Linked DNA regions of Caenorhabditis elegans. The protein of the gene in region 1 interacts with the protein of each later gene in a pairwise test. Each region holds a gene or a part of one and is shown in the gene's direction. Other genes may lie near its edges.

The links. The genes of interacting proteins can lie anywhere in the genome.
Region 2: the proteins of rpy-1 (region 1) and F10D11.2 interact in a two-hybrid assay, tested with the Caenorhabditis elegans proteins (one large-scale study listed by BioGRID).

Annotation. Positions count from the first base shown.
Region 1 is NC_003280.10:6,703,746-6,707,505, reverse strand, and holds the start of rpy-1 (43 kDa receptor-associated protein of the synapse homolog), read left to right. Parts: upstream 1-1,862; 5' UTR 1,863-1,962; intron 1,963-2,008; 5' UTR 2,009-2,012; coding exon 2,013-2,102; intron 2,103-2,233; coding exon 2,234-2,310; intron 2,311-2,359; coding exon 2,360-2,625; intron 2,626-2,670; coding exon 2,671-2,818; intron 2,819-2,860; coding exon 2,861-3,023; intron 3,024-3,075; coding exon 3,076-3,192; intron 3,193-3,338; coding exon 3,339-3,404; intron 3,405-3,634; coding exon 3,635-3,760.
Region 2 is NC_003279.8:8,436,684-8,440,443, reverse strand, and holds the start of F10D11.2 (uncharacterized protein), read left to right. Parts: upstream 1-1,835; 5' UTR 1,836-1,857; coding exon 1,858-1,923; intron 1,924-1,993; coding exon 1,994-2,068; intron 2,069-2,116; coding exon 2,117-2,323; intron 2,324-2,447; coding exon 2,448-2,591; intron 2,592-2,635; coding exon 2,636-2,824; intron 2,825-2,869; coding exon 2,870-2,956; intron 2,957-3,310; coding exon 3,311-3,538; intron 3,539-3,583; coding exon 3,584-3,649; intron 3,650-3,760. Other genes in the region: F10D11.3 (BAG domain-containing protein), read left to right, coding at 1-39, 86-175, 252-416.

The DNA of each region.
Region 1 (3,760 bases):
GGACAAGATGAATGACTTGATGCATTACCAAAAGTTTTGCAATTAGGAAAAAAAGCTATTTCAAAATTGTGTTTTTTTTTAGAAAATTATTAATAACTCTCAATTTCAAATAGTTTTTTTTCTATTTCACGACATTCAATTTATAATTGAAGTTCAAATGTAGAGTTATTTTTTTGTAAATTAATCATGTTAGTGAAACATATTTTTTTCCAACTTACAATAAACCATGGCTCACTGTTCTTGTTGATCGAAATTTTTTTTTTCATTTTTAAAATTACGTCGATATGAAAATGTAGTGCTGAAAACATCAAGACTTATTTTGAAAATATATTTGGATTTCTAAAAATATTGTTTATTTAAAATACTTCAAGTGGGGCATCCAGAGGTGGAACTTTATTCCCTTAACATTTTATTGTCGAAACTGAAATTTTCCTGATTTATTTTTTCTAAATAATCCTTTTTCATCTTCATCCTTAAAAATATTTCTAATCTAATCGGTTCTTCTCATCGTTTTCTTCCACACAATTCAATGTGTCCCAACTCTTTACCCATCTCTTCACAAAAATGTCAATTTCTGTTCAATTTCCCATGGGAGTTCGATTTTCCGTTTCCCATCCTTTTCCAAACTCGGAGAGCTTGGGGCAACTCAAGAAAAAAAACATTTGGAATACGGATTCCTTAAGATGTGCATCAAAGTACTAGACCTCCTCTTCTTCTAGATCTACTTTCTTTTTCCCCGTATTCACTTCTTTTGTCCCAAATTTCTTTTCATTCCAAATTGGATTCAGTTCCCCTGAGAAGCTCGCCTGAGCCGGCGGGTCACATTAGAGAGTACTACTCTTCTTTTTTCCCGAAAATTTCAATTTGACAGAGTGATTTCAAATAGGGACTAGTACCGAAAAAACATTTTGGGCGGAGTTGTAAACGGTGAAAAAAGTTTAAAAGTTTGAATTTATCTTGAGTTCGGACTTCCTTTCGTTCTAAAAGTATATTGCACAAACACAGGTTTTTTTCGAACTCCAAAACTTGACTTCTAGTTGAAGTATATGTTTAGTTAGTTTTCTAATAAATATAGTTCATTCTAGGACTATTCCCATATTTCCTACCTGCCATTTTTCTTGCCTACAGCAATTTTTCAGTGTCGCTGGGAACTCTTGTATATGATATACATTTCTCCCATTTTAACTTTTTGTTGAAAGTTTCTTCTATGTCATGCCAGTAAACATGCGTGTAGGCAGATAGTTTATTTTGTGCAGTTTGCACTTTTGCGCTTGCTCTGATGTTTTTCTCTCAAATTGATTTTTATTCTATCCAATTGGCATTTTCATTTCTTATCTGTTTCCCATTATCTTCCACAAATTTCCCTCTCTTTTTTCGCCTCATTTTCCGTTTCCAATCCCATCATTTTTCGTTCATTTGCTCCCCACCAATTTTTCCTCAATCGTCTCATGACCTCAAATTGATGGATCACTTTCTCACCTATATCTCTAAATCTCCATGTCTATTCATACTATCTCATCTTCATCTCGAATATCAATCAAAAGTCATCCAAGAATTCTCGTCTCATGAAAATGTCAACACAAACAAAATGTGCTTGAGCTAATTGTTTTTTGTGGGGTGGAACTTTTTGTGCAAGAGCCTGAAATAGCTAAAGCATATAAAATCTACAGTAATCCCTTCATAATTGATCCTCTGGTACTCCATCATTATTGCATGCAGACTCAGAAATGGATTCTAAAACAATTATTCATCAATTGTCCTCTTCTTTTCTTTCTTTTATTTTTCACCATGCACATTTTTCTCTTTCTGCATCGAAAGATTTATAAAATAAAAACTTCAATAAAAATTTTCCTAATTTTCAGATGAGATAGGATTGATAATTTTTATTCGTATTTCACACACACGTAGAAAAAAGAAGAGCCATCACTAAAAACTACATGATTACTTGCCGCCGGTCTGTAGGTAAGATATATTGAGCATGAAGTTTGAATTATTGAATATTATTCAGGTCAATGGGTGTTTTTGTGTGTCGCGACAACATCAATCTCATCACGAATCATCGACGATCAATGGGACAGCGGCAAGCAAAGCAACACATGCAGGTTGGTAATAGTTTTGATATGGGGAATTTTTTTTTCGGAAACTAAAATTTATGCGAACTTCTGTGATGTTTTTTAAAATGTTTTATCATTCCTGTTTGGCATTCCCCAATTTTAAACATTTATTTCTGCAGGCTGGCGTCAAACTTTATCATCAACGACATTACGCACAGGCTATCAATAAATGGAGACAGTCTCTGAACAGGTTAAAGTAAGTCTTTCAGACGACTCCTCTTCTTTTCTATAACGTCCATTTTCAGCAATGCAGAAGACCGGTTTATCACTCTCGGATACCTTGCTCAAGCTCTTTGCGACCAGGGAGAATACGAAGGAATGCTTTCATATGCTCTATCACAAATGCAGTTGGCAACCGATCAAAACGATTCAGCAATGAAATGCGAGGCATTTTTGAATCTAGCAAAAGCCTATGAACGATTAGCAGATTTCACGAAAGCCCTCCAGTATGGCAAAGCATCGTTAGAACATCCTTCGATGGATCCCAGGACGCCTGGTTATGCACATTTAAGTAAGAATTTTCAATAGGTTCTAGACAAAACTGTGGCTATTTCAGCAATAGCACTTGCACACTTAGGAATGTCCCAGTTCCAACAGTGTCTGGAAAGTTTCGAGTCAGCAATGAATGTTGCCAATGAGACATCGGATAGGTTACTCGAATTGCAAATTTGTGTTGGTCTAGGATCTCTTTTTACTCTTTTGAGGTAACCGTACAGAAATGAAAAATAACACATTTTTATTTTCAGAGATATCACTAAAGCTCTGATATTTCTTCGAAATGCTCTCGCAATTGTTCAATCTGTTACTGTTGATGATGTTCATGCAAAGTATCGTTGTTTGATACTTTATCATTTATCAGTTGCTCTAAGGATGAAAGGAAGTCTGGTTGATGCCAAGGAAGCATGCGATGTAAGTTTTTATTTAAAGTTTAAGAACTTCAAAAAGTATTGAATGATTCCAGGAAGCTTCCCAGCTAGCTGTTGAGATGGGTAATCGAGCGATCCATGCAAGATGTATGTGCAGTTTAGCAGATATTTATAGAGAATTGGGAGAGAGTGAAGCCAAAGAGACTATCACTGTGAGTAATTTTAAATTCTCAGTTATTTCAGTAAAAAAACGTTATGCTTGAAAAGTTAATAATAACAACTAACTTTCATTAAAACTTGTATTAGAAATCAATGAGTTTTTTTTTTCTATTGTTAGATAATAAACTCTTTCTTACAGAAATCCTGGGCAAGATACGAAGATGCTTATCGTGTAATGCGCGGAGCAAATGATAAAATGGGCGAAGTAAGTGGCCAAAAAACCTTCAATTATTTATTGGTACAACCAAATACCTCATAAAACCAAAAGCTCACATCCAGGTCTCAATTTCTTTTCCCATTAAATAACTTTTACGACTTTCCCATAAATCTTGAAGCTTTGTGGTTGACACAATCTCACATAGAGATCAGACAACATGAGTATATTTCTGGGGAATTGTGAGAAAATAATTTTAATAAGTTCTGAGTGTTTTTCAGGTATTAGTGCTCTCGTCAATGGCAAAAAGTGCATCTGAAAGTCGATCTCATTACACTGGACAATGTGAATGTCAAGCTATTCAATTGAATAAAAAGTGTATTGAAATTGCAAATCAGATAGGGTGC
Region 2 (3,760 bases), on another chromosome or scaffold:
GATCGAGAGTCTATTCGACTTTTGATTGGACAGATTCGGGTAGGTTTTCAATTTTTATTTTTGTTGAGTAACACGGAAGTTTTAGGATCTTTACAAAGAAATTGTGCAAATGAGAAATGAAGATAGAGAGCAATATAAGCTAATGAATGGGCGGGTGGATGCATTGGAAAAGGATGTGAGTTCAATTTTAAAATCAATTATTGATAAAATTTTGAAATGGATATTTTTCCTAAGCAATTGTATTGTTTAAGAGATCTTTGCGTACCAAGAAGCGTCGCAAGATCAATAAGGATAAGACAAAGTTGGATAAAGAAAAGAAATCGGCTGCTCAGAAGGTTATTTCCACATCAAATATGACGAATACTCCCAAGATTACGGACGAGAACAAGGTGGCTGAAAAGAAAGAAGAAGAATAATGAACTTGTTGTAAGAATGTCTATTTGTTTATGTGGACAATAAATGAGTATCTGAAGTTTTCATTTAATATTTTCTGTTTTTGGTCAATCAGCGATGAGTAATTGAACTGGCCAACGTCGCTGATTGGCCGGCGATTTTCTCAACAAGATTCGAAGTTTCAACGTCCATTTTAGTTTTTCAGCAAGCTTTTTCTCCAATGTATTATTTTTTCCTTTTTGTTTTAACATCTGACTTCCTTTTTTGCTGCAGCCGCAAAACTGAATTTCACTAGGGAATATTCTGAAGGTGCTATAGGAACTTAGATTAAAAAAATTGATTCAATTGAAAGCCTACTCGGCATTCAGAGGCAACTTCCTGCCACACTTTGGCAACTTCCTGCCAACAACCTGGCAACTTATTTAGTGCCACTAAAATAAGTTGCCAAAATTTGGCAGGAAGTTGGAAACAAGCAAAATTTGGCAGGAAGTTGCCATAATTTGGCAGGAAGTTGCCTCCAAATGCCGAGTATGTTGAGTAAACTCTAAACTCTAATGAATAAATGGAGAAAAACGCTTTATTATCGGGGGACTGTAGTGGAGTGGTACGGTAGGGGTGCAGTTTTTTGGATGAGCTGGGCTTAGTGTAGGGATTACGTTGTTGTGATGTGTGCTTTAGGTGCTTTGTTTTTGCAGGTACGGCTGATATACCAAATTTCAAACTAAAATCAGTATACTCACTTCAAGGCAAACCCTCAACGTCAAGGCAAACCCTCATTTACTAGCGTGCTCATTTACTTGAACGCTCAATCCCTAACGATGGCTCAATTCCTTTGACGCTCAATTACTAATGTTTTCACTTTCGTTCGTTTACTAATGAATGGCTCATCTACTTTGATATTTCATTTACTAACTTAAACTACAAAATTACTTTTAAAAAAAATTTCGGCAACCGGCAACTTTTGGTTACCGAAACTTCGGCAACTTTTCGGAAACCGGCAACTCGGTTGCCGGTTGCCGCACAGCCCTGGTATATGAGCCATTCATTAGTAAACGAACGAAAGTGAAAACATTAGTAATTGAGCGTCAAAGGAATTGAGCCATCGTTAGGGATTGAGCGTTCAAGTAAATGAGCACGCTAGTAAATGATGCCCTAACCTTGCACTGCTCTTTTCTGGTCTTTTTAGAATGTAGAATACTCTTCAATTAGCCAAATTACCAAAATTGAGTGTTTTTTTTCAAATTAATTGAACATTTTCCTATATTTGTATATCAAGTTTAGATTGAAAAAGTTCGATTATCATTCTGTAGAAGCAGTTTTTCAAAACTAGTTTGATGGATTTACGGGAATGATTTCCTTGTTTACAACGAAGCTCCGAATTTCCGCATACGCGCCTTATTTATCGTAAATTTACATTTCATCTGGTATTTGTTTAAACTAATATTCCTTGCAGGATAACTATCAATGACGGATTTACAAGTTTTTGAAATGAATCCTCAGCTGAACTTTCCTATTTCTGATAAAACTATTGTAAGTTCTTCGATTGTTCATTTTCAAGAGTTTCCTTTTTCGTATTTATTGAAAATCGATAATTTTCCAGTATCAAATGGGATTCAACTCAAGTGCTGCTCAACCATCTGCTGCGAACTATGTTACAGAGTCGAATTCATTAACAGTAAACTTTAAAAGTTCCGAAAGTCGAAAAAATCGATATTTTTTTTAGAATCATCTGCAAATATTGGACCTTTTGAATCCCCAAACTTCCAGTGGCAGCGACGATAAGAAAAGACAGTTTTTCGCAGATTTGATGACTCCACATTATGAAAAACAAGCTGAAATTGAAAAGAAAATTGATGATTTATCGGAAGTTGTTCATCAGTTTATTCAGTCACAGCAAAGTTTGAACAAACTAATCCTTGAGAAATGTCTGGTAAGTTATTACTTTTTCCAATATTTTCCTTAATCTACATTGGAACATAATTTCTTTTAAATATTTCATTTGTTTCAAATTAGATATTATTAATATCCATTAGACTTTTGCTTCTTTTCTACAGGGTCGTATTCCGTCTCCTCGAATGACAAGTCCACATCAACCTGAAGATAATTCAATAGATGACATGGATCCTCCTGTTCAAGAAGAAATCGAAGAAAAAATTGAAAATGATACTTTCGGTCAAAACGAAGTTACTGTGAATCAGGTAAGCGTTATTTCGAATATTTTTTCCAATCAAAACCGTTTCAGCAGCCAATAAATAATCCAATGCCAGTTTATCCAGTTCCCATTTCACATGAACCTGCAAATCTTCATTCACCGATTCGAAATCGATCAATATCTCCGGAAAAGATGGATACAACTGGAAATTCAGGAGCAGGAATGTCTGTCAGAGATTTTCTAAAAAACACAATGACAGTACAGAAAGCTGATGAAAAGGTATAGATTTTAATCTGAGTTCGGTATGAAAAATTAAATTTTCAGATTTTGGAAGAAGAATTAGAACGGGAGCGTGATGAAGCGGCACAAACAGTGAGATACAACAAATTTCGAGTTAGAAATCGCCCAAAGGTGAGTGTTTCTTTCGAAAAATATGCGAATTAACTTGTCCATTCATAATTTTTAATGCTAATACCTGAAGTTAATTTTAACATTTATTGAGATTCTCGAAATTTCTTAAAGTTTGAGTAGTGTCGGTTGTATTTTCCCTAAATCACAAAAAACAGTCTCAATATACTGAATATAACTGTTTAAAATAAAAGATTTAAAAATTTTATGCTTTAAAACAAGTTTCAATTTTGAAAAAAAATATAAACAGAGATGTTAAATTATCGTTTCTTCAGCCAATTCTAGAGCTTAAGCCATTTTCTGTTTTATTACAGACAAAAAAATCCAAAACTAAAGTTTTCAATTACTTTATTTCAGAAATACAAACGAAGTGCTGTAACATTTACATCATCTCTTGAAGCAGCTACATCATCATCTTCATCTACAATACCTCATCAAGATCAGGGTCCAACATTTTCAACACATTCAACAATTGGAAATTCATCGGATACTAGTCAATTAATGGAACAATTGGATCAATCACAAAATGATTCAATCGATATTGAGGAAAACGTTTATCAACCAATTGTAGTTCCATGTGTTCAAGTATCCTGGAATTCAACTATTTCTAATAATTATAAATTATTTCAGAGAGCTCCAGAACTTGACCTTACTCTCATGCAACCAGTGTTTTCCACGGCTTCTTCATACGTTCTCGTTAGTTTTTTCTCCAGAAAAAATCGAAAACGAGGAAACAATTACAAAAAAATTCAACTTTTTATCAAAAAAAGAAGAAAAATGATCAAAATTTAAAGCTATTTTTTGAAA